Saccharomyces cerevisiae S288C: one gene and its partners. Changing the gene in region 2 together with the main gene of any one other region gives a genetic interaction. Each region holds a gene or a part of one and is shown on either strand. Other genes may lie near its edges. The genes, in order: EFM1, THI72, PET100 and AZR1.

Region 1 (9,094 bases), on a different chromosome or scaffold from region 2:
GTCTTTCAAAACTCCGTTCGAGGAAGTTTTTACGTCCACCTGATTTCGGTATCCAGGAACCAAATTCTAGAAAAAGATACAATCCTGCAAAAGCGATCGCAGCGCTAAAAACCCAGATCGCAAAATATATCAGCTTATTACCACCTGTATTCAGTAAAATCACACTGGGTACTGCAAATATACCTGACCCCATTATCCTCGAAACAAATAACACAACCGTGGAGAACACACCTAAATGTCTTCCCTGTGGAACTTCCATGAATCTTGCCGTCTCTGCCTTTATCGCCTGCGCTTCCACAGTATCCATCGAACTGAATGATCCAGTATTTGTGGAACCATATTTTGTGGTAATATCACCAACTTCCACATCTATGAAAACATCTTGAGAGGGATTTGCTTTCCCACTATTAAAAAGCAGCGGTTCCATTTTTACTTATTTTGAGCACTGTACGTCTACGTTGCCCTCAGCAACTTAGACTACAAACAGAATGTACAGATCATCGATAAGCATCCAGGTCTTTATATGTGTATTGTTTTTGCCCCTTGACTCAGGCAGGCCTCTAATCTATATGATTGATTTGTCATATATATGCAGCGACGCCACAGTTTTTTCCGGCAAGAGTCGCGTGATCTTTTTTTCTAATCCAATCTGTGAACATACTAGAGGAAACTTCTACCTTTTCTACCTGAATTACATTATCAACACTTTTGCACCAAAAAATCGTGGTACTAGGAGATGCAAACCTTTTGGTCTCCACATCAATTGCAGGAAAAAGATTGACTGTTTGCATGTGCAATTATCTTATATATTATGTAAAAATAAAAGTAGGAAACGCCACATGGATGCGCATGCCATAACCCTTGCATGGTTAGCACACGCCCTCACGTGAGTGAATTTGCCAAAATGATAGTCAAATGTGTTGATAGTTCGATAAGAGGTGAAGTTGGGGAACTAAAGGTGGAATAGAAAATGATAAAACAAAGGAAAGAGTGAAGATTGCCGCCGAGTAGAATCCAAGATTGGTGTGTATGGGTGTATTTAGTGAAAGTTCAATTGCATTGAAGATGACAAATTATGCTTAAGTGAATGGACAATGAAGGCTTCTCTTGAAGGAGTAAGGCTGCGCTGAAGGAAAGGTTTGAGACAGAGTGACCAAAATGGTGAATTGGCAAACATTGTTCATGGTCTCATTGAGGAGACAGGGCAGTTCCTCTCGTTACAGGTATAAGTTCAACATGGAGAATATCACACATCAGGTGTTCCCTCGCTGTAAGCAAGCGTTTAAGAAGACAAACTTATCTTATGAATATTGTGATCTTGAAGGAGTACTGTATAATATTTCACTCACGGACTTGCAAAAACTGCTATTACGTGATATAAACGCCCCTCGCGAACACGCATTCAAGATTGTTAGAACAGATCTAACTCAAAAATCCTCGAAGAAGAGGATCCAACACTGGGAACGGATTGCGCCTATGTTTGACCACCCCTTAAGTCTCTACGAGAAGTTGTTCAGCGAAATGGATGAGGACTTCAAGCCATCTTTCGAGTGGCAACAATTAATAAGGGTACGATGCAAAGATGATAAGTTGAAACTGCAGCGTGTAATTTGGCCTAAGTCGATATTTTCAAACTTTTGTCGGGGAATCGGGGTTAAGAAGAGCACTTACGATAGACTCTTGGAACAAAATAATGGTGAGGTACCCATGTTTGTAAACCCAGCTAATGCAAAGCCCTTGCCTCTTTTCCAGGTTTCCGATGAGGCGATGATTGGGGAATTCGATGGAATTGGTATTTTCCCTTACTTTGTAGATAAACATAGAGAATTTTTCGTTACTGAGGTAGACAAATTGAAGACCAAGATAGCTTCGCCACTTTGCACCTTGAATGAACGAAAGCGCATTGAGAAGGCTAACGCTGGTCGGATACTGGCGAACGAAGAGGGTAAACCATTCTATCTGGATGCAAACAGTGCCACAACTCGAATCGCTGGTGGTAATGTCGTCACTTTGAAGCAACTTTTAGAAAGATCGGTTAGCCATAAGACATTGTGGAGCAAACAATCAAACAAAGACAGAACGTGCCCTGGAGACATTTTAAGAGCTACAATATTATCAAACGACTTCTCCATCCGGCAATTGAGGGCTGAATTTTGCAAAAATTTCATTCTCTACAATATATTCACCATTTTACAACGTAACAAGAAAAGCATCCGTTCCTTCTCTGGTAACGATAATGCGCCTTCCTTTCAATTTAGTTGGAATGTTTGGGACTCATATATATGGAAGCAATATCAAGAGACCGAGTCCATGAAAATACCCACGGACCAAGCTTCTCTGATCAACTACAAGACAAAATACGACTCTTTTCTTCATGACCTACAAACATATTCCGCACTGGTAATTTCAGAAATGAAATGGAACCAATTCTCTATTTTCCAAAATGATGAAACGACTTTATCAAGATTTGAACACATCACATTAATTTTGCAAACCGTGCTGACAAAATCGAAAATGATTAGAATTTTCCAGCCAAACTTGTACAAGTTTATGCAAGATGATTTAAGACCAACTTTAATGGAGTTGGTGGGTTTCACTGAGTCAATAAATGCAACAATAGAACCTGGTTTTGCGAATGAACAATCGCTACAATCTGCAAACGGATTAAAGAAATTGGCCAACCAACTTTTATACTTCGAACAGGAAATATATGGCGAAAAGTTCCGCGTAAATAGGCCCATCCAGCTTCGTCCAATAACATTATCAGCAAACTACAAAATTGTTATTCTGGATAAGAAGAACGCCATACCCGAAATATTTCAAACCCTACTGAAATTCATGACACAAATAACGACATATTTTGTTAAAGATTTGTCGGAGGTAGAACTTCATGGGCACATGCATTGTATTGATAAAAAAATGCTGGACAAGTCGAAATTCATGTATTTATACGAAGAGAAAAGCAACGAGGAAGTGAAAGCAGCTTCTCCTCAAAAGGAGAAGATAGTAGATAATATCATTGGCCTATTATCAAATGATGAAGAACATTAACATGAATTGGAAAAAGAAAAAATTGCATGTAAATATATACATACGTAGAATTTTATACTTAGGCTACAGATCAAAGCTAAATCTGTAAGTCGTATGCCTTCTTCATTAGAAATATAGGCTCTTTATTTGATTTCCTGATCCAAACCAATCTATCAATCGCAGTATCTGCCACAATGAACTGTCTTATGCCCCAATCACCGACACTATAAATTTCTGGAATTCTCTCCGATAAATTAGGGAAGTATTTTTTATAGAACGGCAAAAACTCCATAACATCTTCTTTTTCAATGACAATTGAATCACTAACTTCTTTGAAGGTTTGTTTAATGAAACCTCCCTGATTATTACTTTTATCGTTGATTAATTTGACTATCCAGAGCAACAATGCGTCATTAAGACAGTCTTTTGTGATCAAATCTTCGTAATTTATAGCACCAAATACCAGTAAGAGAGAATTGGCAAATATTTTGTCGTTTTTAAAAATTGTCTTGAATGACAGAGAAAACTCCTTATTATTGCTATATATTTTTTTTTGTAAAACGGACAATTTCTCAGTAGTGGCGTTCAGAATTTTTTTGTTATCTTGATAGTATAGTTTGATTAGTTTAATAACATGAGGGCGTAATTTTTGAGTCGAAGAAGTTTTAATTTTAAAATTCTTATAAAACAGCAATCTCTGGGATACTACAGATGTTAATTGATCAATACCTTCCAATACGCTCCTTACGGTTGGAGTTTCTTCAGACTTTAATTTACTTAGGTAGGCAAATAACGCTAGTAGAACCGGTGGTAATGGTTCAGAAATTTTTAAACTAAATTGTAAAATGGTAGTTTCTCCATCGTCAGTAACAAAATTACCTGATTTGTTAAAATCCACGGGCAAACCGCTAACTAAGGTGGATGGTAGCTTTAAAGTCAACCTAGAGAAGTCAAACTTATTCGAGGAATCCCAAAACCCGTAGTTTAACAAACATTTTTCATTAGAAATATTACCATAATTATTAAACAATTCATCCTGTGCACTAAATGTGGTAGTCTGCGACATGAAACAAAGTTCATTTTGTTCATTCATCTCCCATCTTACTGGTACATCGTTTTTATGGTTTAATAAATCTACTATTGGATACAAAAATCCTTCGTTCAGATTGGTGCGGTCTGTACCGGCCCTGCCTAAAATGACACGAGGAAATGCCCTAGAATTAAAGATGCAGTACGACCAAAGATACGCCACGAACGAGTTCCATTCCGAATCTTCTAGTTTACATCCATTGATGTGTGCGCAGAACTGTTCCAACGGCACTACGGCAGAGTCTTTATTCTCCTGGAATAAAGACAAGAACTGCTTATCTTGAGAAGAGTGTTCAATAGATAAAGCTTGGAACAGCATCCTCCACTCCTTTACTAGTTTGTTCAGCGTATCTCTCATAGTTAAGTACACGTCTGTACCATGCAAATTCATGACTTCATCAGTAGACCAAAAATATGGTTGTGGAAGGTGCAAGGGTAGCACATCTAAATATGGTTTGTAAAAGGATTTCAGGTGAACTGCATCGGTGCCAAATTTCAACTTTGACAAGTACAACTGTGTCACGGAATTCAAAAGACTCCTTTCATTAGCAGCCTGGGAAAATTCTGATAAAGCTTGCTGGGAAGTGATCAGCAGAGTTTCGGGTACCCTAATCAAAGCTTGGTCGGGTTTGGGAGAGAATTTTTCGTTTACAAATGCACTAACACCAGCATCCTCTGTAATCCTAAAAGAGATTTTCGGATCGATGAAGGCTCCATTATTTTGAGCCCATTGTAAGCAGTTATCTAGCTCAGTTTGGGTGATCATGCAGAAGTTCGTTAATTAAATGACGAGGTAGCTTCACCAAGCTTGATTCCTTAGTCTTTTTTACTTCCATCATTTCTTCTTTGTTGGAATGGTCAAGTTCAAGTTGAAAAATTTTCTTTTTCATAGTCAACTCATCGCAGGCACATTCGCCTTGAACGAACAACGAGCAGGACTCCAATAGAATAATAGTAATAGATTACAGGCCTATACAATCAAGACAACTATCAAGGTGGGGAGGGTTTCCACCTGTAACTTCCGCTGACTAATGATACATATTATCTGATCGGAAGCCAATGAAAGATCCCCTAAATATCACGCATGTAAGCGACCGCGATGAAGCGTACTGGCAGCTCTATCACGAAGCGATGGAAAAATACACCTGCGAATGAAAATCCATCAACAGAAATGAGAAGACAATTGTATATTATCATTAACGTTCATCTTTAGGACTTGTTCTCTTACGAAATTTGTGTGCCTGTATTTGTTAGAAAGCCACATATGTCTTGGCCTTTTTCACTTCTTTCCTGTTTGGGATTGCAAATTTATCAAAATGCACCCATAAAAGCAGGTGTGATATAACAAGCACATATCGTTAGGAAAATAGTGTCAAAGAGAAAAAAAGGCCAAGCAAATCGGAGTACAGTTTACATGAAGTAATGCAAGATGCATAGAACTGAAGATTTCAGGAATAATTGTATATAGGGGAGGAAACATTCGATAGCTCTCTTTTTGCTTTCGTTCACTATATCTCTTGTTTTCTTTCTTAAAAATATATGGACAGTAGTTCAAGCCACTGCATAGCAACGTACTAATGGAGTCTGTTCACTCTCGCGATCCTGTTAAGGAGGAAAAGAAACATGTCTTCATGGGAATGGAACACGAGTTGAATCCTGAGACTCATAACGATTCCAACTCCGACTCATATGGTCTCCCTCAGTTATCTGAAAAATACAATGCCTTGAGACAGAACAGGAGCCTAATTATCCAGCAGACTGAAATCATTGGCTCTGCTTACAATAAATGGTACTTACAAGCGATTTTACTTTTGAGTGCTTTCATATGTGGCTACGGTTATGGACTGGACGGTAACATCCGTTATATTTACACTGGTTACGCCACATCATCCTATAGTGAGCATTCTCTGCTGTCTACAATCAACGTCATTAATGCTGTGGTCAGTGCCGCTTCGCAAATCATATACGCTAGGTTGTCTGATGTGTTTGGTAGACTATACCTTTTCATTAGTGCTGTCATCCTATATGTTGTGGGTACAATTATTCAATCACAAGCTTATGATGTTCAAAGATACGCTGCAGGTGCCATTTTCTACAATGCTGGCTATGTGGGTGTAATCCTTATTCTTTTGATTATCCTATCCGATTTTTCATCTTTAAAGTGGAGACTGCTGTATCAATTTGTCCCGACTTGGCCTTTTATCATCAACACATGGATTGCTGGTAATATCACTTCCAGAGCCAATCCTGTTGTCAACTGGTCTTGGGATGTAGGTATGTGGGCTTTCATCTTTCCCCTATCATGTGTTCCAATCGTTTTGTGTATGTTGCACATGCAATGGAGGGCCAGAAAGACTCCTGAATGGCACGCTTTGAAGGGCCAGAAGTCCTATTATCAAGAACATGGTTTTATTAAGATCTTAAAGCAATTATTTTGGATGTTAGATGTCGTTGGTGTCCTTTTGATGGGTTGTTCCCTAGGTTGTATCTTGGTCCCACTGACCTTGGCTGGTGGGGTCAAAACTACCTGGAATGATTCAAGATTGATCGGCCCCTTTGTTCTTGGCTTTGTTTTGATCCCTATCTTATGGATTTGGGAATATCGATTCGCTAGAGATCCAATTCTTCCATATAGGCTGGTCAAAGATAGGGCTGTATGGTCTTCTATGGGTATTTCTTTCCTGATTGATTTTATTTACTATATGGCCGCTGATTATTTGTACACGGTTATGATTGTTGCCGTCAATGAATCCGTTAAATCTGCAACCAGAATTGCCACATTATCTTCATTTGTCTCTACTGTGGCCTCTCCATTTTTCGCTTTACTTGTAACAAGATGTACGAGATTGAAACCATTCATAATGTTTGGATGCGCGCTATGGATGGTGGCTATGGGTTTATTGTACCACTTTAGAGGTGGAAGTCAGTCCCATTCAGGTATTATTGGTGCATTATGTGTCTGGGGTGTGGGCACTACTTTGTTCACTTACCCAGTTACCGTCTCTGTACAATCTGCCGTCTCTCATGAAAACATGGCGACAGTTACAGCTTTAAACTATACCCTCTATAGAATTGGTTCTGCTGTCGGTTCCGCAGTTTCCGGTGCCATTTGGACTCAGACTTTGTACAAACAAATTTTGAAGAGAATGGGTGATGTTGCTCTAGCCACAACTGCCTACGAATCTCCATATACTTTCATTGAAACCTATACTTGGGGTACCCCACAAAGGAATGCCTTAATGAACGCTTACAAATACGTTCAAAGATTGGAAACTATCGTGGCTTTAGTATTTTGTGTTCCATTAATTGCATTCTCCTTATGTCTAAGGGATCCTAAATTGACTGATACTGTTGCTGTGGAATACATCGAGGATGGCGAATATGTCGACACGAAAGACAATGATCCAATTTTGGATTGGTTTGAAAAACTTCCATCAAAATTCACTTTTAAACGGGAATAAGTTGATGTTTACGTTGCATGATTGCTTGATATCACTTTCCATGACTATATTGCCCAAAATATACGGTGTCACCTCCTACTTTTTCCTCTCTACAAGACTCTACCATTCTAATGATCATAACCAAGAAAAGAAAAGATCAGAAATGTCTAGTTCTTTGCATATTCCTTTTACCATAACAGTATATGCATATCTACATGTATAGTGCGGCACTACTTAATATTACGTAACAGAGTAATATCTTTACTTCTTTTGTTCTGCCTGTTTATAACATCGATTGGCCAGTTGTCTCAGCACTTGCTTCATAACAAGTGAAAAATTAGAGGCGTTGAATAATTATGTACCTTGACTTTGAAGTCGGTTATCATAAGTGCTTCGAGAAGAGATATAAAGACAAGATAAAGTGTTATGTCAACTATGGTGAAAAAGGAAGGGAAGACAGGCGGTCGCTGAATCTTAAATCCACTCGCCTTTTTTTCTTTGTTTTTCCTTGGCAAGCCTATCCTTCCAGTCGGCTAAGCCCCATTCCATTCAGCTTGTAAAGAGATAGTATGATTTACTTGTAGTCTGGGATGACAAGAGTAGAATACTCGCAGTGATCACGGTTTGCTGCGTGTGTTCACTAATTATGATGTAATCACCGAGCAAACGCATCAATGCTTTCGAAAAAGAAAAAAAAGTAGCTAAATGTAGACAAGGTTGAACCATAAACGGTATTCACATTGGCTGACGTCGCGCTTTCCTTATTTGTAAAACAGAGAAAAGGGCTGATAATACGCTAAACGAAGGCAAGAAAATATCCTGTAATAGAAGTAATTTACATCGTTTAACATGAATGGCGAGGCGTAACCATCACGTCACTGGCACCTTTTCCATAAGCCCATAATGTTTATTTGTGCCTTTAGAAACTTTCCCCTTGAGTCCAACGTTATAACGTGCCCTCGTAAAAAGAAAATCTTGTAAATAACTCTTTTACAACATACTAGGGCTACTGCCAATAATAATAATATCCAGCTGTTTGTCATCCCAAGGCAACTATAAAATTTTTTTCTTGTGGCCTTTACTTTTTTTCAATATCGAGGAAATCGCAGCAGGTTTCCAAATGCAGGCAAAAACTTAATAACTTCGTCTTCCAAAAACAGAGAGCGAGAATTAGAAATAACCCTTTTCTTTCTATATTTGGAAAATACTCTGGTATTCTCCGGTTTATCTACTGTAAAAAAGGGGGTCCGGTATCTTGATATCTCGTTTATTTGCCATATGAGGATAATGTTCTGAATGTGGTTCTCATATTGCAGAAACGATAGACCGCATTAGGATGTAATAATGCATCAATTTCCTTTTCATCGATCGATCTTTGTGTTAAGAACGACATTAATAAATTATTTCCCATTTTGGAAGGAAGAGGGTAGTGAAACAGTAAAATATTCTGCGGCAGTTTCTCTAGAACGGAAGAAACCTCAAACATTGTAACTATAATTTTTTGCTTGGCTAAGAACATTGCGTAGGAAGCGATG
Region 2 (9,157 bases):
AGATCAAGAACAGATTAGGGCTCTTTTAGAGAATGTCAAACAATCTGAATCCATTATAGACGGCGAAGCACTTACTCCCGAGGATATGACCGTAAACTTATTAAAACACCAGAGGCTGGGTCTGCATTGGTTGTTACAAGTTGAAAACTCCGCAAAAAAAGGGGGTCTGCTTGCTGACGATATGGGCCTGGGTAAAACGATTCAAGCTATTGCATTGATGTTAGCAAATCGCTCAGAGGAATCCAAATGTAAAACCAATTTGATCGTCGCACCAGTCTCAGTCTTGAGAGTTTGGAAAGGTGAATTAGAAACGAAAGTAAAAAAACGCGCAAAATTTACTACATTTATTTTTGGAGGATCAGGTAACGGAAAAGTTAAGCACTGGAGGGATTTGGCAAGATATGATGCTGTTTTGGTATCTTATCAAACTCTAGCAAACGAATTTAAGAAACATTGGCCGAAAAAACTGGATGGTGAACAAAATCAGCTACCAGCTGTGCCTCATATACAAGCTCTTAATAGGTTGAAAACCTCAAATGAATACTACTCTCCATTTTTCTGCAATGATTCAACGTTTTACAGAATTTTACTGGACGAAGGCCAAAACATCAAGAACAAAAATACAAGGGCTTCTAAAGCGTGCTGTACTATAAATGGAATGTATAGGTGGGTCTTGTCTGGTACGCCGATTCAAAATAGTATGGATGAGCTTTATTCCTTGATAAGATTTCTAAGAATTCCACCCTACCACAAGGAGCAACGGTTTAAATTAGACATTGGAAGGTTTTTTCAGAGAAATAAGCAATATCAATATGATAACGAGGATAGAAAAAACGCATTAAGAAAGGTTAGAGTCCTTCTAAATGCCATTATGCTTCGTCGGTCTAAGGCTGATAAGATCGACGGCAAACCTTTACTGGAGCTCCCTCCTAAAATTGTGGAAGTAGATGAATCACGCCTGAAGGGAGAGGAATTAAAATTTTACACAGCTTTGGAATCAAAAAATCAAGCACTCGCTAAGAAATTGTTGAACAATTCTACGAGGGGGAGCTACTCTAGCGTTCTCACATTACTACTTCGCTTAAGGCAGGCTTGTTGTCATTCAGAATTAGTTGTGATGGGAGAAAAAAAAGCGGAAGGTACAAAGGTAGCTAACGGCAAAAGCTTTGAAGATGACTGGCTCAGGCTCTACTATAAAATCACTCACATGAGCGGAGAAGCGCAGGCTCAGGTTATTACTTCAATGAATTCTATGACATGTTTCTGGTGCATGGAACAATTAGAACCAGAAGCGATGTCCGTTCTGACAGGTTGTGGTCATTTGATTTGCGACACTTGTATCGAGCCCTTCATCGAAGAGTCATCCATGCTACCTCAGGCCAAGAAAACCAAAGGTGGGGCATTTGCTATCCCATGCAAAGATTGTCAACGTTTGACAAACGAGAAAGATATTGTTTCGCACAAGTTATACGACCAGGTAATAAACCAGGGATTTACTGAGGAAGATTTGCATGCAGAGTATTTAAGTGAAATGGAGAAACAAAAAATACAGCAAAAAAATGTATATGTGCCAAATTTTGAGAGTTTAGAACCATCTACGAAGATAGAGCAATGTATACAGGTTATTCAAAGAGTTTTTGATGAATCAGCAACCGAAAAAATTATTATTTTTTCCCAGTTTACAACATTTTTTGAGATTCTCGAACATTTTCTCAAAAATAAACTGAATTTTCCCTACTTGAAATATATTGGATCAATGAACGCTCAGAGAAGATCAGATGTTATCAACGAATTTTATCGTGACCCTGAGAAAAGGATACTTCTGATTTCCATGAAAGCCGGTAACTCAGGACTAACATTGACATGTGCGAACCATGTAGTTATAGTTGATCCATTTTGGAATCCTTACGTCGAAGAACAAGCTCAAGACCGTTGCTATAGAATTAGTCAAACAAAAAAAGTCCAGGTGCATAAATTGTTTATAAAGGACTCTGTTGAGGATCGTATTTCTGAATTACAGAAGAGAAAGAAGGAAATGGTCGATTCTGCCATGGACCCAGGCAAGATAAAGGAAGTGAATAGTTTAGGGCGTCGGGAGTTAGGATTTTTATTTGGTTTAAACGCTCTTTGAAGAACTTGGTGAATTTTGAAGCATTATTGCGATACACATATGTATATGTTGATAATTGGTGGCTAAGCTTCTAGTTTGTAGGCTTAAGTAACTTCACTCGTTGGCACTTACGAGCTTGGCATTTAATGGAACAGAAAATAAGCCGTAAATCGGCCCTACTTTAAGTATAAGAAATATGCGAAATTTGATATGATCGTTTGAATTACTTTTTGAAAAAGAAAATACCATTAGTAACATACAATATAAGAAGCTCGTCTCCTGGATTTGGAAATCCACAAAAGATTATCAACAATGCCACGAATAACATAATTGCTTCCCCCTCCTGTTAATTGCTTTAACTCATTATTGCATCGTTAACAGTTGTTACTAAATTTGATTTTTGTTTCTCATCATATATGTAATCTTCAAACGCCAGTATAATTATACGCTCGCAACAGCTACCATACATTAATGAACCGATGAAAATATCCCGTTTGATGATAACTGGCAATTAAATGACAGTATTAATTAATAATCAAAGCTGATCTTATATTCCTATAAAAGAGAAGCGTATAAAACACACGTGGATTGGGGGTGCTTTATACGTAAACTGTGATTTCAGTAATTTTCGCTGTAAGATCAAAGTAAAGACACATTCCCTTATATGTAAAGTTCAAATTCATTGTTCCACTAATAGACCGTCAACTTTTCTTTTGGATTTTCAGCCCGAACAGGTTGCTTATTATTAACTTCCTTACAACAAGGTACAGTCAGTGCATTATATAGATCTATACAACCATGTGCCTTTGTGTTTTCTAAGGCTATACTGAAAATAAATTGGTAATTTATAATTTCTATCTTCACGCGCTTTCTCACTAACAAGACTTGACCTCTCAAATAAGTGGCGCAGATGCTCTAGAAAAGGTTTCTTATCAAATAAGTTTTGCTCTTTAATCGCACAATGCAATGCAAGTTATTTTTTTTTTTTTGATTTAATGACTTTCGATTTCCTCTCATAGGCAACCGGTACTTATCATAAGTACGTAATAAGAAAAGTATGTCGCAGGACGTCATAAGCTCAGACTTGAACAAAAGAGTAACAAAATCGCCTCCACCTAATTTTCAGCCCTACTAGAGCCTGATAGGATATCGGCACTGAAGCTGATAAGAGAATCAATGAAAATATCATCCTCAACAGAAATACTGAAAAGAAGCGGTAGTTTTTTTTTCTTGTTACAATTATCAGCCAAACAAAAACAGTGATCTGAATCGTCAATCAAACATTAGTGGAAGAATGAAATAATCGAAATGACCTCTATATCCTGTACGACCAACAAGCTTAATAGTAGTGTTTCCTGGGACTAAAGAGTGTGTTTAATTATCTCGAATTTTAATACTAGCGAAAGATCTTGAATGAACACTAAGTATGATCATTTTATTAGGTTTTTTGCTCATTAGGCAATTTGTTTTTCACTGGAAGTAGAGGATTCCTTTTCATTATCTTTCTGATGAACAATTTCAAACACTTTTGTGTTTTCTGAACTAGTTTTTGTCAACTCAGGTAGTTCATCATCGGAGCTCTCAGGTTTGTATTCGTGTCCACTTGTGAAGCATTCGCCTAATGTGTAAGCACGGATTTCTTCTTCAGAAATTTCACTGTATGGAACCATGCCCTTCTTCCTTGCTTCTTCGTCGGTAAACGCACCGTAGTAATCTTTGTCATCATGTTTGACAGTAATTTTGAATGGGAAGAGGAGGCATAGTCCCCAATAGACGAAAAAGGAAATCAAAAAGGAGAAGAAAGAATCACCATAGAAAAAATTTATAATACCAGTGTTGTGGAAATAGTCATTATTGACTTCCCAAGCGATACCAGGTAGACCGGGAGCCATACCACACACCCAGGCAACGATAGCTCTCCAGTTGACACCCTTGGTAAAATAGTATTCACCCTTTAGAACAAAGGCATTGGTAACGGAGTATTGTCTCTTCCTGATGAGGAAATTATCACAGATCATGACAGTGATAATAGGTGTCATTACGACACCGAAAGAGCTCATAACAGTCAAGAAAGTAGAAGAAGAGTTGTAAAAGTTCCATGGCAAACAGGCCCAGGAGACGCATGCGGCAAAAATAGCACCTCTCTTAATATCAACATATTTCGGTAATAAACCAGCCAAATCCATACCACTGGCAAACCCACAGTTGGAGATGGTATATGAAATTTGAGACATTACAAAACAAAAACCACAGAAGAATGTAGCTGCACGCGCGCCTGCAGAATAGTTAGTTGTCAACCAGTTGTCAAAGATGTCCATAGGCATCCAAAATGTTTGACCGTATAATTTTTCACAAGCAGAAGCACCAATGATACCGAATACTGGGATCAAGGTTGCTGGTATTAGTAAAGCAACTATAGTACCAGTCCAGATAGCGCAATTAGAGGAACCAAATCTGGAGAAGTCACTTTGATTGGTACAGCCTGGAGAAACAGAACCGTACCAGTACGAGATCGTATAAACCCAAGCCCAAGCCTTTTTAGAGCCAGTAACTGTGGAATGAGTAGAAGTGAACAAGTCACCAACACCATGTGCGCTCTTAGTTAAGTAAATTACCATACCCAACATGGCGAAGAAAGTACCAACACACGACCAAATTAAAATATAGTTCATATGGTATGGCTTCATAAAGTAACAGAACGCGGTAAGGATATGGAAGATAATGAAGCCGATCAATTCCTTGGTGGTCATGGCAACTTTCGAGGACAAAGTATTGGGCAGATGCAAATAGTGGTGAGACCAAGAATCTAATATCATGTTTACACAAAGCCCACCTAACCAAGCGTTGGAACCATAATAGACAATACTCATCAATATTCTGATAATGATACCAAGAGCTGAACCGTAAATCCCAAAGACGAATCTTTGAGCTAGAGTGAAGCCGACCTTCCAGTCATAGCCAGGACAAGAGTTGGCTAAAGCAAACAGGATGGTCAACAAATCAGCAATAATAAACGCACCGATGGTCTCTGAGTAACTTAACCCAACAGTTAATGCAGACGAACCGCCTATCCACATACCAACGTTGAAGGACAGAACACCCCAATACGCAAAATTAGACCAAAACCCCCACGTTTGATTAACAGACTTGATAGGTTGCAAATCAGGGTTCCTTAAAAAATTCACGGAGGCCCTATTTTTAACAGGAATTTCCAAAAATCTCAAAGCCCTGGAGATTCTCGTACCGAAACTCATAATGGTGTAATGCTAGAGTTTTTTTTGCTTGATAGTATATCAGATATGAGAGCAATAGATGATGATACAAGTTCTACAGTGGAAAATAACATGGTACACGCTCTTGGCAACATTGAAATTACAGCTCTCATATATAAAAAATGGAAAGAAAAAAGAGAAGAAAAAAGAGAAGAAATGAATTCTATTATGATAGCGAATGCAAAATATTCGTCCACATTCTTTTATCTATTGTCTTCCTTCTTTCTGTGCAACTACCAGAAAAAGCTATTTCATCTAGTCGAGTAGACTAATTAATGAATTATCTCGTCTTCCATATAAATTAATAAGGCAACCAGCAGGAGACGCCTATTGTTAAGCGTATTACGAAACCTGCGGATCTGTGCGCTATTGTTATGCCAGTGAAGGAGCCTGTCATCATGCACTCATGTGCCCGCGCGCGCGCTTCTGTGACTACAACTTATTGTAGGGCGTAGTACACTGACGCCTAGCGCTCAAAATACACATATGCAGTGTGGCCGACTATGCGATGAAGCGGAACAGTCTATCTTATGTGAATGGTTGCAAAATGCCGTTATATGGATACTACGGTGCGAACACGTATTTATAATAGGATAATCTTGTATCTATTCGTTTTATGCTACTAGTTCTAACCTTTAGGAAGTGTCCTTCACAATATCAGCCCTACATGCAGTGGTCTTCGTAAATCCTGTGAGGTTTTGTCTCATTTCTCTATGCTGGAAGGGCTTCGTAGAAGATTCCGCAAAATAATGGAATTGAAGCCCTGCGCCAAGCAAGCCTCACGAGGATCGTCGGTTCTGAGACGTAACCACGCTCTTGAATCTTGTTTATGTGATCAGCAATGACGTCTTCGGTGGTAATACCATTTCATTCCGGAAAAGATGAGTTTGTAGTCGGTTAGGGAGTACCGTGGCGTCCTTTCCTATTTCTGCAAATTTGCTGTCCATGTTGGCAACTACTCTCAAAGGTGGCAACTGCTTAGTAAATAGCCATATCGCTCAGAGATACATATCAAGAAACTCTAGCCAGATGATCACGAATCCCGAAGCGATGTAATTTTCCGTGAGGCAGTCCTGAATCAGGCCGTAGATTGACTATTAGCATCTCTTTTTGAGTATGCTAAGAAGTAGAGGGCTACCTTATTCCCACACACTTTTTACCACGGGCGAAACATTTATTTTCAAGTCCCAGCACAGTGATGGGATGAAGTCCAGGATGCGTCATACGGTCCTATGGCAAACTTCGGGGAAGGTTTAATATGCTGCTTTCAAGCAGGATTAACGGTAATCAACTCCCTAGGCAAATTGGCTCAACTCTGCCTATCTATCCACTGAGGATTTCAAATCCACCGAATGGGAGAATATGTCAGTGTCCATTTTGGAGTAAGGTATGAGTTCTTTTTTCGTCAGCTTTTCTTCTATATCTTACAATTGCTTATCTTAAACCACCGATATTTTTGCAGTCCCTTCATCATCGAGCACAATGGCCTATACGTTGAAATTTTGGTTTTGGTTTGAAGCCCACTCATCTTGGCATCGCTGACGTGTTTTCTTCCAAGATTTAAAGAGGACTACTCGGTGCAGGTGGACATCTCGAATGAATATGTTACCTAGCTTGATCTCCTCCATCAAATTACAACCTTTTTGCAGTGAATTTTGATACATGGATTTCGGAGCTTAAACACGTATTAACTGAAATTCAGGCATGGCGAGAAAATTCCCATCAGAACTTGAAGAATACTCTAAATACTACTGAGATAAACCGAGAGGTGACGTGAAATTCTTCCCAGATGTTCAATATATTATGAAAAACCATCCAGCTGAATTACCTCATTTGCAGATCAATTTCAAAGGCTTCGGTTCGGGGATAATGAGACATTCTGTCCAAAATGTCCCATTTATTACAGCCTCGGAATTAAGGTGCTTGATACTGTTCTCATAAACATGTGACTGCATTGGTGGTTGATGGAGTAATGATACCACTGAGCGGTTTCAAATGCTAAAAGTCTTTTGAAGCTATCACAGTTACCCTCGGATTTGGCAGTCTAATTCAAGTGCCGTAGATACCGTGGCATTGAAATATTCGAGGCAGTTATTAGCAATGCTCAAGAGGATATTATGCGGAGTGCTACCCTATTTGCATTTTTATGATGTCATTGACGATGCGAGAAAGTCTAACATGATTAGATTGGCACCTGCACATTATATATTGCGTTTCTGAACTTGTACATTGTAATGAATGTGTTTAGGAAACCGATGAGTAAATCATAAACCAAGGTGGGATCTCATTATCAATTTTTTTTTCATATCAGTTACAATAAATATAACTTGAATAATTTTTCAATGATTGTCGAATTTCTAAAACATTCACACATTCTGAGAATAATAGAGCAAGGTTTTCGAAGATACAAACCCCATTAGCACCCTAATTTGTTGTACTTGTGTTTTTTCACCACTAGCACATCGTTTTACGATTCTTGAAAGGCTAGATGGAATAGTGCAGAGCCCAAAGGATAATATCCATAGTTAAACAGCCGTTCTTTGCGACCTGAATGATTGCTTACTTTGATTTTGTTGCATTACAGGCTTTGGTAATAGCAAAGTTTGTCGCCAAATCTGTTTTACCGTTAGAAAAGCTACTTCTCTTCAAGACGTCATTCTCAGCTTGACCTACAGAATGCTACTTATCCAACATATCACGTAAAATCTAAGATATACTATATGATAGAAGCGCAGATTACCGGATCTAAAATAATTGTCTGGGTATTTATTCATGTGGGTTATTTATCCAAGCAAGAATTTGACCCAACGTGCTCTATCTTGTTTGATTCACTAAGGTTTCTACTGTGAATTCTACGAATTTTGTGATAATGGTAGGGTTTCCATTCTTTTCAAAGGCTGTAATATTAGGTATACAGAATATACTAGAAATTCTCCTCCAGGATATAGAAATCCCCAAAATGGAATCGGTAGTTCAACAAATAATATTACGATTATTTCTCAATCTTTATGCCATCTTCTTTCACCGCATGTAATAGTATACTAGTAACACTAATACTATTTAACAGATGACATTTTAGAGTTGGAGGAGAACTTCTAGTATATTCTGTATATATAATATTATAGCCTTTATCAAAAATGGAATCCAAACAATTATCTCAAAATTCACCAATATCTTACGTTGATTCTGTTGGAACGAGAGTAATTAATAGTGACATGAGTTGCTATGGTAACAATCTAATGCTTACATCGTATATTAATGTACACCTCGTATACGTTTAAGTGTGATTGTGCCTATTGCAGAAGGAATGTTAAACGAGAAGCTCAGACCATACTGAAGCTGTGTTAAAGACCTATTAGTTGAACATGATATGGTAGGTACATATATGAGGAATATGAGTCGTCACATCAATGTATAGTAACTACCGGAATCACTATTATATTGGTCATGATTAATATGACCAATCGGCGTGTGTTTTTGAAAAGTGGGTGAATTTTGAGATAATTGTTGGGATTCCATTTTTAATAAGGCAATAATATTAGGTATGTAGAATGTACTAGAAGTTCTCCTCAAGGATTTAGGAATCCATGAAAGGGAATCTGCAATTCTACACAATTCTATAAATATTATTATCATCATTTTATATGTTAATATTCATTGATCCTATTACATTATCAATCCTTGCGTTTCAGCTTCCACTAATTTAGATGACTATTTCTCATCATTTGCGTCATCTTCTAACACCGTATATGATAATATACTAGTAACGTAAATA
Region 3 (6,361 bases), on a different chromosome or scaffold from region 2:
TATATTTTACAACAGTCTCAATAGCCCTTTTAATTTTTCTTTTGTATCGTATTATTGAAAAAAGACGAGCAAACTGCAGTAAGATAGAAGTGTACTCCCAATAGAGACAAAGCCAAGATACTTTTGTAAAAGAACGAAAAAATGGCTAGAGCAAGAAAGGGTGCACTGGTTCAATGTGATCCATCCATCAAGGCGCTCATATTACAAATTGACGCCAAGATGAGTGATATAGTACTAGAGGAGTTGGATGACACCCATCTTTTAGTAAATCCCTCGAAAGTCGAATTTGTTAAGCATGAGCTAAATAGGCTATTATCTAAGAATATATATAATCCTATGGATGAAGAAGAAAATCAGTAATTATTGCTCATTCAGCTTTTTCAATACTATTTGAATAGAGCATGACCTGCATAACCAGGTCAGACATGAATATAGAGGGGAAGTGATGATCTAGTGGAAATACGACTATACAGGTATGTACATGTTAGAATAATAAATATAAGGAAGAAAAAGTGGTCAGGTGCAAGTATACATCTTTAACCGTTTTCTTTTCTCATCCTTTTTTGAGAGCCAAATCCCGTTTAATTTTTTCTTTTTCCTCCTCAAGGTCTAAACCAAACTCCTCTTGTATCTTTTTCTCCAACCTAAGCCTTTTCTCTAAACGTTCTTTTTTCATCCTTGCCAGTTCAGCTTTAATCTCATAAGGCTCTTTTGGTATTTGGTTCAACGTTGCAGGATCTGGCCAAAACCCTGGAACATTTAATTTTTTATCAGTATCTGTACCAATATAGTACATTACAGCAACAGGTGCTAGCAAACAAAATGAAAATCTAAAGATCTCCAGTTGCGCCCTTGTATATTTAAACTTGAAGTTATTAAATAGACCCATTTTGTACTTGTCGAAGTGATTACTTTTGTTTGTCAGCCCTTATTAAATTGTTATAGAACAGAAAATATCAGCAAGATGCGCTGATATATTGGAATTATACGGGAAAAAATAACCATTTAAGGTCAAGCCGGTAAAGCAAAAGTGTTGGTGATGAAGAAGAAATAGGGAGAAAAGAACAAGTCACAAGGGTGAGTATGTCGAAGGATGTAATAGAATACTCTAAATTATTTGCTAAACTGGTTAACACAAACGATGATACAAAACTGGATGATACAATAGCATCCTTCTTATATTATATGTTTCCAAGGGAACTATTTATTCGAGCAATTTCATTACTAGAATCTTCAGACATGTTTATATACATATTAGATAGAGTCCATAACAAGGAAGGTAATGAGCATACATCATTGATTGATGTGTTAGTTGATGAATTTTATAAGGGTTCATCTAATTCGCTCCTGGAGTATCGCTTAATAGTGAAGGATACTAATGATGGAGCGCCACCAATACTCGTAGATATCGCACACTGGTTCTGCTCATGTGAAGAGTTTTGTAAATACTTTCATGAAGCACTAGAAAAAACTGACGAAAAAGAAGAATTACACGATGTGCTAATAAATGAAGTTGATGATCATTTGCAATTTTCGGATGATAGGTTTGCACAGCTGGATCCTCATAGCTTATCAAAGCAGTGGTATTTCAAATTTGATAAAGTTTGTTGTTCGCATCTACTGGCGTTCTCCATTTTGCTTAGATCTTCCATAAATGTGCTGAAGTTTTTCACTGTGAACTCGAATAAAGTTTTCGTTATAGCAATAGATAATATCGACGAGTGGTTAAACTTGCACATCAACATAGTTGAGTAAGAGGTGAAGAAAAGTACACCGCTTCCGGTATATATCGCCTCCTGATTAAGAGATCAATGGAGAGCACATTAATAAGTTTGTATTAAAGAATTAAGAACTAAAAATAGTGTATATGATGATTATATAAGAATTATTAAACTACCCCTATTGCTTTTAGAAAACCCTGTCTTGAATGAGAGGATGTTTTACACGCAACGCGTAAGAAACATCTTTAAAGAGACTAGACATGAAACGATACTGCTCAGGGCAATTTAGGGGCTTTCCCACAAAGATGGTGGTATAACGGGGCTAGTCTGTCAAAAAGCCTAGAAGTGAAAAACGAATAACAAAAAAATAACATAATACTGAAAGAAAGCATTAAGAAGGCGGATGTGTCAAACACCACCGTTTATAAGAATAACATAGCAACACCAGCCAAACCTAAAGCACCTGGAACGACGACGTTAGCACCGTTACTGTTGATGACAACGGAATGAGAAGAAGCAGAGGATGAAACTGGGACGACTGTGGAGACGGTTAGACTTGGGTTGGCTGTGGTTTGTTTGGTAGTAACACCTGTTTCTTTGGTGGTAGTGCCCTTAGATTCGGTAACTGGGACAGAAGACTCAGGGGCTTCGCTCTTTTCAATAGTACATGGACAGTCAGTGATAGTCAAAGTGGTTGGTTCAGTGACGGTGTAAGTCTTACCGTTTGTGGTGAAAGTGGTTGGTTCTGGACAGTAAGTAGTGTACTCAGTGACTACAGTGTATTCGGTGGTTGATGTGGTTGTTGGCTTTTCAATGGTGCATGGACAGTCAGTGATAGTCAATGTGGTTGGTTCAGTGACGGTGTAAGTCTTACCGTTTGTGGTGAAAGTGGTTGGTTCTGGACAGTAAGTAGTATATTCAGTGACTACAGTGTAGTCAGTGGTGTAGTCAGTAGATGGGTTGTAAGGAGGAGTGGTGGTAGTGTTGCTTGGTGGCAAAGATGTAGTTGGTGGGAAAGCTGAAGTGGTACCGTTGGTTGGAAGACCGGTGGTTGGAGCTTCAGTAGTAGTATCAGTTGGAGCTTCAGTAGAAGTACCGTTAGTTGGAAGAGCGGTGGTTGGAGCTTCAGTAGTAGTATCAGTTGGAGCTTCAGTAGAGGTACCGTTAGTTGGGATAGCAGTGGTTGGAGCTTCAGTAGAGGTACCGTTAGTTGGGATAGCAGTGGTTGGAGCCTCTGTTGAGGTTTCAGTTGGTGCAGCTGTGCTGGTACCGTTGTCGGATTCTGGAGCTTCAGAAGATGTGATAGTTACTGAGCCAGAGGAAGTGGAGATGGAAGAGGAGGAAGTGACATCGGTGGAAGAAGCAGATGTACTGTTGGAAAATTGGGCCAAAGTAGTCGAGGCTAAACCGGCAGATAATAGGACAGTTGATAATTTCATCTTAATAGAGCGAACGTATTTTATTTTGCTTGTCTTTGTAGTTACGACTATAAATCAATAATTACAAGAGAATAGAAAAAGAGAGGTGAGATAATACGATAATGGAGAATAAAATAGGTCAGGTATTTATATGACAGTTCAAAAGAGGGCAGAGCAATGTTCCTTACTCTAGTTCTACCCCAGCCCCTACGGCCAATCTAAAAATAATGCGACTGGGAGCCATACCGTACTAATTCATTTTACCGTAGTAAAATGGATGAAAAACTGCTTAAAGGCTTTTTGTCTTATTTTTAGAAATTAGTGGACAAAAAATCATTTTCAATCAAAAATACACAAGAATGGAAAGAGATGACATCGAGAAGGGATGGATCTTTAGCCAAATAAAGTAATCAATGACCGTGTGTGCTCTGGCGCGCTGGGCCCTCTCCTCTTTCGTAATGAAAATATAATAACAATAACGGTTCTGATGGCTAATTTTAGCGATATATGCCTTTTTGTCCTCGAAAGAAGGCCGCATGACGTGGAGCAATCAGTGGTGTATGGAAGGTAGACCTCGGGGCTAAGCTTTCTCGGGGAGACGGTGCCGTCTGGGAGATAATTCCAACCAATATTACTGCTTTAGGTCATCCACCACGGGTAGTGTTGAGGATTACCTTTTTCGGTCTACGCAATATTATCCATTGACAGTTTGGCGTACCGTACAAAAAGCCGCTGCTGCAGGTTGTACTTCAACTTTAAGTCGCCGCGTTGCAAGTACATTGTGAAAAGATACTGCCTTACGTTAATTTTCTATATCCAATTGGGGAATATGCATGTCCGAATCTGGCAGATGCATGGATCGTTGAATAGTATTTCCAATTCCGTGTAAGCTGTTGCTTACATTAATCCTATAAGGGTAATGGGTGTGCTTGAGGGGATGTGTACATACCACTTTAGGTTCGAGCTGCATACCCCAATATGGAAAAACGTATTCACCTTAACTCCAACAGATTAAAATCCTAAATAGGTAAAATTACCCTTAACTTTTCTTTGTAGTTGTTGGGTGGAATGTTGTCGTTTTTCCATTTTTTATTGTTTTCGGTTTTCGGTTTTTTTATTTTACTATTAACCTTCACTATCATAAATTATCTCCTCCTTTCCCTCCGCATTTGGTAATGGATTATCATTGGAGTCAATATTGTTAAACACTTGTGAGCAACTGCTGCTGCTTGTTGATAATGTTGGAAATGAGGCAATATTAGCAGTATCAGGTTTCAGATCAATTATATCGCGGAGTTGACCTGTTGCTTTATCAAAATCAAATTTGACAATATAGTTACGATCGTCGCTGCTTCTTGACCGCTTTAAATTTCGTCCTTCTCTTTTTCTATCTTCGCCGTGTAAATTAAAAACAATAGCTATTCTCAAGTTTTCAAAGTTTCGTTTGTTTATTCTCATTTCTTTGATGGTAGTACATCCCTCGTTACTCTGCGAGGATGACGCCTTCACTCTTTTGCTTTTCACGAAAACGGTTTCGTCCACTTGTTCATTCCAATCCCTAAAAAGGCCGATCCTGTCTCTTAGAAATACTTCCCAAGTGGAATCCTTGCTTCCCATAGCGATATTGGCAACGAGCGCGCTTTTCAATATATGTACATTGTTCTTACGCCTTTCGTTGTTAGAGTTGACAAAGAAGTTAGATCCGTCGTCTAAAATTTCGTAGTATTCTTCCAAGGATTCGAATTCGTTTGATTGGAAGGCGGTGTTCATACAGTCATTTAAAACTATTATTGTCGAACCCGTGGAATGTGTGTATTTGGTCATTACCGTAAAAATTAATATCAAATGTCGACATTTTAACTCGTGTATAGTTTTATCTATCATTCCGCCGCCTCTTTTACTTAGTGTACACAGATGATCGCAGACTAATTGAGAAAATCCATCAATTATAACTAGTTTATATCGCACACTTTGAGATAATTTGAACAAATTCTGGAAGAAATATAATAGCTGTCCAAATTTCGTTATTCGGACCCGCTTCACATTTTCTTCCACGATTTTAAATTTTTGAAAGCGTTCTCTTAGTATGTTTATGGGCATTTCTTGAAATGTTTCTATCCATAGAATTTTATCGTCGTTTATTTCCGATTGTTGTATGCCTTCTAACGAATTACACACCAATTGAATGCCAAAATTAGTCTTGCCAATGCCCGGAGGCCCAAATATTTCGTAGATCGACCTTGCCTGGAATCCCAGGTTTAATATCTCATCTAATCCTGTGATGCCGCTACTTAATGGCTTTGGACTTTCTACTATTAATTGGGAAAGTGGTATACCAAGCGACATATTTTCATATTATATATTATTAATAAGTTCTTTTCCTTATCTAAAAGCTTTCCTTAATGTACTTGACATCTTTGATAGCGGAGCTTATTATTAGTTAGTCATGCTACTATGTATTTTTTTCTATTTTTCATATCAAACGCGATGAGAAGAGAACACGTGAAGAACTTAGGGGACCTCCGCATCTATAACATATTCTACTGAAGAAAAAAAGGAATAAAAAATAAAAGAAGAAACGGTAGCTGGGTATATATTAGTATTCAAAAGCCATATTGTTAATTAGCTAAGATGTGAAAAGAAGTATGTAATATTACAATTTTTTTTCCTTTATTGCATTATGAAGAAAAAAAGAAAAATGCACTTGACAATTAGAGTGCCTGTTAAAAATTTATAAGAAATAGTCCATTTGAGATTTTTTGGTTGGAATTATAGCATTTCCGACTTCATTTTGTGCCTGAACAGCTTCAAAAATTGTATATTCACGATTCAAATCGTCGTCTATCTTCAATACAGCTGCTACATTACCACAACGATAACAGTAATTCGGTGCCGACCAGACTGTCACTAATCCACCGTCGAACATTTCTTTGTAACCTTCCATCACTAACTGATGAGCTCTAGCAATTAACTCAACGTTGTTTTTCTCTAAGAATTGATCAACTTCTCTTTTACCGAAAAGAAATCCAGCACCTCTTGGTGATAATGACCATGTGTCAACGTCTTCGGGGTCGCTCCATAATAAGTCACACATAGCACCTTCATGTGGAACTTCTTGTTTCCTGTCTATTGTTCGTATTTCATCAACCGTGGTCATATCCGGAGATAATCCACCATGAACACAGAATATGCTATTGTTTATTATTGCCCCCAATGATAAAT
Region 4 (4,041 bases), on a different chromosome or scaffold from region 2:
CATATTTTTTTCTTTTTTTCTGATCCAAAGTTTTGTAAAACTTTAAAAGAGTTATATAAGCAAGTATTATTATCGTTGGAGGAAGAAAATTTGACCTTCCTTCAACTTTTGATTTTTTATTTTTTTGTTTCCAAGGATTAAAGTGTTCTTTGAGTACTAATCGTTCATCATTTTATTTTATTTTTGGCGCCTTAAAAATGGAACAAGGCAGACGCCGAAAAATACAAAAACAAAAGTCGAAATAAAAAGGGAAACTTCTATTGAAGGTGACATAGAGGCATTGACGCTCTTGCTATATGAACGTCGTTTATCATACCAGTATAAAAATCTAAATTAACTATTTAATAGCTGTACTCATACTGTCTCGGATTACCCTCTTACTGTTATCGTTAGTTGTGGTACACAATTCAGCAAGCTAAACAGCCAATTACTAAAAGTCATGTTTATTTTTTCTGCAGCTTTACACTTTGAGGCTCGCCACCTTCTAAATCGTGCTTAACTTATCTCAGGCTTGCTGTGACTTTCTTATTTGAAGCAAAAACAGCAAAAATGAGAGATAATGCATAAAATCCTAATGCCATGTAAAAGACGTCAGTGAGAGATTCAGAAATTATATTGCCCAATTTGGAATGAGAGCCATCGAAATTGGTCTGCCTATAGATTACCAGATTGTCTACCGTGGTACCATCTGGGAGCTGAATATTAGCCTTGGTTAATTTCTTGATAGCAGCAGCACTGAAAACAGTGTTAGAGATGACACCTCCCAGTGCTTGACCTAGATTTTTGCAAAATGTGTTAAAAGTGGTAATAGAGACAAAATCTGATCGAAAAGTTGGGCTCTTCTTGTCTAACTGAATTTGAGAAGCGAGCATGGAACTTTGTGCCAAACCACCGAAAGCAACGCCAGGTAATATCAAAAGGCCGATGTGAGCAGAGTTATTGGCATTATTGTTCAATAGGGTTAATATACCCGCACCAACAACACCAAAAATGCTTGAAATAACAATAATCGGTTTGATTTGGCGGGTTTTGTCGGTGATAGCACCGCAAAGTATTGCTGTAACGACTGTAGAAATAATGCAAGCAACCAGGTGTACAGCGGCTCTCCAGGCGGAATCATTGTAAATTAATTGGAAGTATTGCACAATATACGTAAACTGACTGATATATCCTGCACAAGTGAGAAACAAGGCTATATTAACCGTGAAAATACCTGGTTTCTTGATATTTGTCCATGACATTAATGGTTGGTAATGTGGTGTTGCTTTCACTATATTAAATTTGGGGAAGACAAGGAAATCATAGATACCTGCTAACACTACCAGGACTATACCGATGATGAAAAGAATAATGATGGATGCAGAGTTCCAAGCATACCGGTTACCGCCAAATGTGAAAGCCAATAGAATACATGTGAATCCAGCTGAACAAAACACAAACTCGATAATATCATACATGAAAATCAATTCCATGAACGGCTTTCTCCACCCATTAAGTTTGCTAAACCCTTTGATTTTCAATAAATGATATGCTACATTCCGAACAATTTCGATAAACTGTGATGGAAATTTGCGGATGTTATCCATTGTCTCTTGAAATGTACTTAAACCTGGGTTATAAAAGAACAGGAATAAGAAAAATGCTAGGCCACCGATCGGTAAATTAACATAGAAGCACCATCTCCATGTGACGCTGGAGGTGAAAACTCCTCCAAGGAAAGGCCCAACAACAGATGCAATAGCAAACGAACAACTCAAAACAGCAATTAGTATGCCTCTCTGCGACTCCTCTACCAGGGTTGAACCAATGACGAACGATAAACTTTGAATACCACAACCGCCGACTCCAGCAATAACTCTACCACCAATGAGCATACTCATTGAATTTGCTAAAGCAGAGATCAGCGACCCGATTTCAAAAATGACAATAGCAAATAGCATGGTCTCCTTGAATCCGATAGGTGTGGCAATTCTTCCCCATATCAACGCCAACAGAGCGTTTGGTAAGCTATACCCGGTAAATAACCACCCGATCTCAGAGTACGATCCAAACTGTTTAGCTACTTCTTCAATGATTGTAGAAACTATCATGATATCCAAGGCTGCCAGAAACAGCGACAAAGCCAATGCTATCAAAGATGCGTACAAGATAAACCCTTTAGGTAGTTCATTACTTTCGCTGGCGTTGTCCTCGAGCACCACGCTCACGTTTTGTTTTGATGTTGACTGCGTAGAATTTCGTCTCACAACATATTGTTTTTGCTGTTTCTCGTTCTGTTGTTGTGCTTTCTCACCGTAGTATGAGAGGTCGCTCATGCTGTAAGTCTTAGGTTCGCCTTTCATTGGGCTGCAATTTAGATACTAATGTAGACGTGGTGTTACTACAATTGTAGAAGAAAAGATACAAGATTTAAAGGACGTTGCAAGAGGGTACGGAAACTCTAGCATTATATATAATCAATTGATACAGTGCCGATTCTTTGATATAAGACATTTTTCTTTAAATTAATGTAGTGGTTCTGCTTGACACTTTTTATTGTATTTCCAGCCATAGCATATAGAAGCGCGGAAATACAGCGGATATCCGCTAGTTGGCGGAAATAATGCAAATTGGTAAGATCCTATGGTAACAGTGCAAGAAAGGGGCCTGAGTTAAAAAGAGAAAATGAGCCTATCCTAATGATGATAGCCAGGTTCATATTAACGTTGTTTACCTTTGTGTTCAAGATCAGGGGCTTTTGGCAGTATCTGAGCGAAATGAAATAAAGAAATTGATAATCACGTGATCACGGCTTTCTGGCTTGTAAAGCCGGTTATATTTATTTACCTTAGTAATACGTACTGCGGGGGCTATTGTTAAAGGGAAGAGAAACCAGAAGATCTGGAAAGGCAGCGATTATTAGAGGACAACTATAAGCATACATAACTAGCAGATGGATGTTCGTCGACCTATAAGGGAGGCAGTCAACAACAGGAGGAAACCAAAATTTTTGAGCGTTTCGTTTAACCAAGATGATTCGTGTTTCAGCGTGGCGTTAGAGAATGGATTTCGTATTTTCAATACAGATCCATTGACTAGTAAGCTATCGAAAACATTTAAAGAGTCTGCGACCAACCAATCCAGGGGCACTGGGATTGGCTATACCAGGATGCTTTATCGTACGAATTACATCGCACTAGTCGGAGGTGGTAAACGACCAAGGCATGCTCTAAATAAACTGATCATCTGGGATGATCTTTTGCAAAAGGAAACGATTACTTTGAAGTTTATGTCTTCCATTAAAGACGTGTTTTTATCTAGGATTCATATTGTGGTAGTCCTGGAGAACACAATAGAGATCTTCCAATTTCAAACCAATCCTCAAAGAATTTGTCCTATTTTGGATATCCCTCCCAATGGATCAGTGGACTATGTCGTTTGTAGCAGCAAACATCTCCAGTCGCAAGCATCGCAGTCACAGTCTAAAATCTTAGAAATCATTGCATTCCCATCGAATAAATGCGTAGGCCAAATTCAAGTAGCCGACCTATCACAAATAAAATATAATTCACAAAACCCGAAGGAATCAGCGCTTTTGCCCACTTCCATCATTAAAGCACATAAAAATCCCATCAAACTGGTTAGACTGAACCGTCAAGGCACCATGGTAGCAACATGTTCCGTCCAGGGTACACTTATAAGAATCTTCAGTACGCATAACGGTACTTTAATCAAAGAATTTAGAAGAGGGGTGGACAAGGCGGATATTTACGAGATGAGTTTCAGCCCCAATGGTAGTAAGTTGGCCGTATTGTCAAATAAGCAAACATTGCATATTTTCCAAATTTTTGAAACAACCAATACAGAAACGAATACACCAGACCACTCTCGTGCCAATGGTTCGAGCCATCCCTTGAAAAATTATATACCGAAGGGCCTATGGAGGCCCAAGTATTTGGACTCTGTGTGGTCGATATGCAATGCTCACTTAAAGAACCCAATCTTTGACGCTCACAGAAATGACAACAGTGGTGATGTAACTCACGATAACGAGTTCTATAA

Evidence for each region.
Region 1: mutations in THI72 (region 2) and EFM1 together harm fitness more than expected from each alone (negative genetic interaction), as found in Saccharomyces cerevisiae (one large-scale study listed by BioGRID).
Region 3: mutations in THI72 (region 2) and PET100 together harm fitness more than expected from each alone (negative genetic interaction), as found in Saccharomyces cerevisiae (one large-scale study listed by BioGRID).
Region 4: mutations in THI72 (region 2) and AZR1 together harm fitness more than expected from each alone (negative genetic interaction), as found in Saccharomyces cerevisiae (one large-scale study listed by BioGRID).

The regions. Positions count from the first base shown.
Region 1 is NC_001140.6:17,574-26,667, reverse strand, and holds EFM1 (protein-lysine N-methyltransferase), read right to left. Parts: upstream 4,886-9,094; coding exon 3,128-4,885; downstream 1-3,127. Other genes in the region: MUP3 (Mup3p), read right to left, coding at 1-427; YHL037C (uncharacterized protein), read left to right, coding at 489-890; CBP2 (Cbp2p), read left to right, coding at 1,159-3,051; ARN1 (siderophore transporter), read left to right, coding at 5,697-7,580; YHL041W (uncharacterized protein), read right to left, coding at 8,827-9,094. UniProt on the Saccharomyces cerevisiae protein: S-adenosyl-L-methionine-dependent protein-lysine N-methyltransferase that monomethylates elongation factor 1-alpha (TEF1/TEF2) at 'Lys-30'.
Region 2 is NC_001147.6:695,204-704,360, forward strand, and holds THI72 (thiamine transporter), read right to left. Parts: upstream 5,365-9,157; coding exon 3,565-5,364; downstream 1-3,564. Other genes in the region: translocase ULS1, read left to right, coding at 1-2,131; YOR192C-C (uncharacterized protein), read right to left, coding at 8,785-9,021. UniProt on the Saccharomyces cerevisiae protein: Low affinity thiamine transporter responsible for intake of thiamine. It is possible that the primary function is the uptake of closely related compounds and that thiamine transport is a secondary activity of these proteins.
Region 3 is NC_001136.10:597,592-603,952, reverse strand, and holds PET100 (Pet100p), read right to left. Parts: upstream 890-6,361; coding exon 554-889; downstream 1-553. Other genes in the region: TFIIH complex subunit TFB5, read left to right, coding at 142-360; SHU2 (Shu2p), read left to right, coding at 1,084-1,755; SED1 (Sed1p), read right to left, coding at 2,144-3,160; putative DNA-dependent ATPase RAD55, read right to left, coding at 4,265-5,485; phosphoprotein phosphatase PP4 catalytic subunit PPH3, read right to left, coding at 5,871-6,361. UniProt on the Saccharomyces cerevisiae protein: Required for the biogenesis of cytochrome c oxidase. Probably for its assembly into an active holoenzyme.
Region 4 is NC_001139.9:941,107-945,147, reverse strand, and holds AZR1 (azole transporter), read right to left. Parts: upstream 2,343-4,041; coding exon 501-2,342; downstream 1-500. Other genes in the region: AMA1 (Ama1p), read right to left, coding at 1-3; phosphatidylinositol-3,5-bisphosphate binding protein HSV2, read left to right, coding at 2,933-4,041. UniProt on the Saccharomyces cerevisiae protein: Transporter protein required for adaptation to high stress imposed by low-chain organic acids, in particular by acetic acid, and for resistance to azoles, especially to ketoconazole and fluconazole.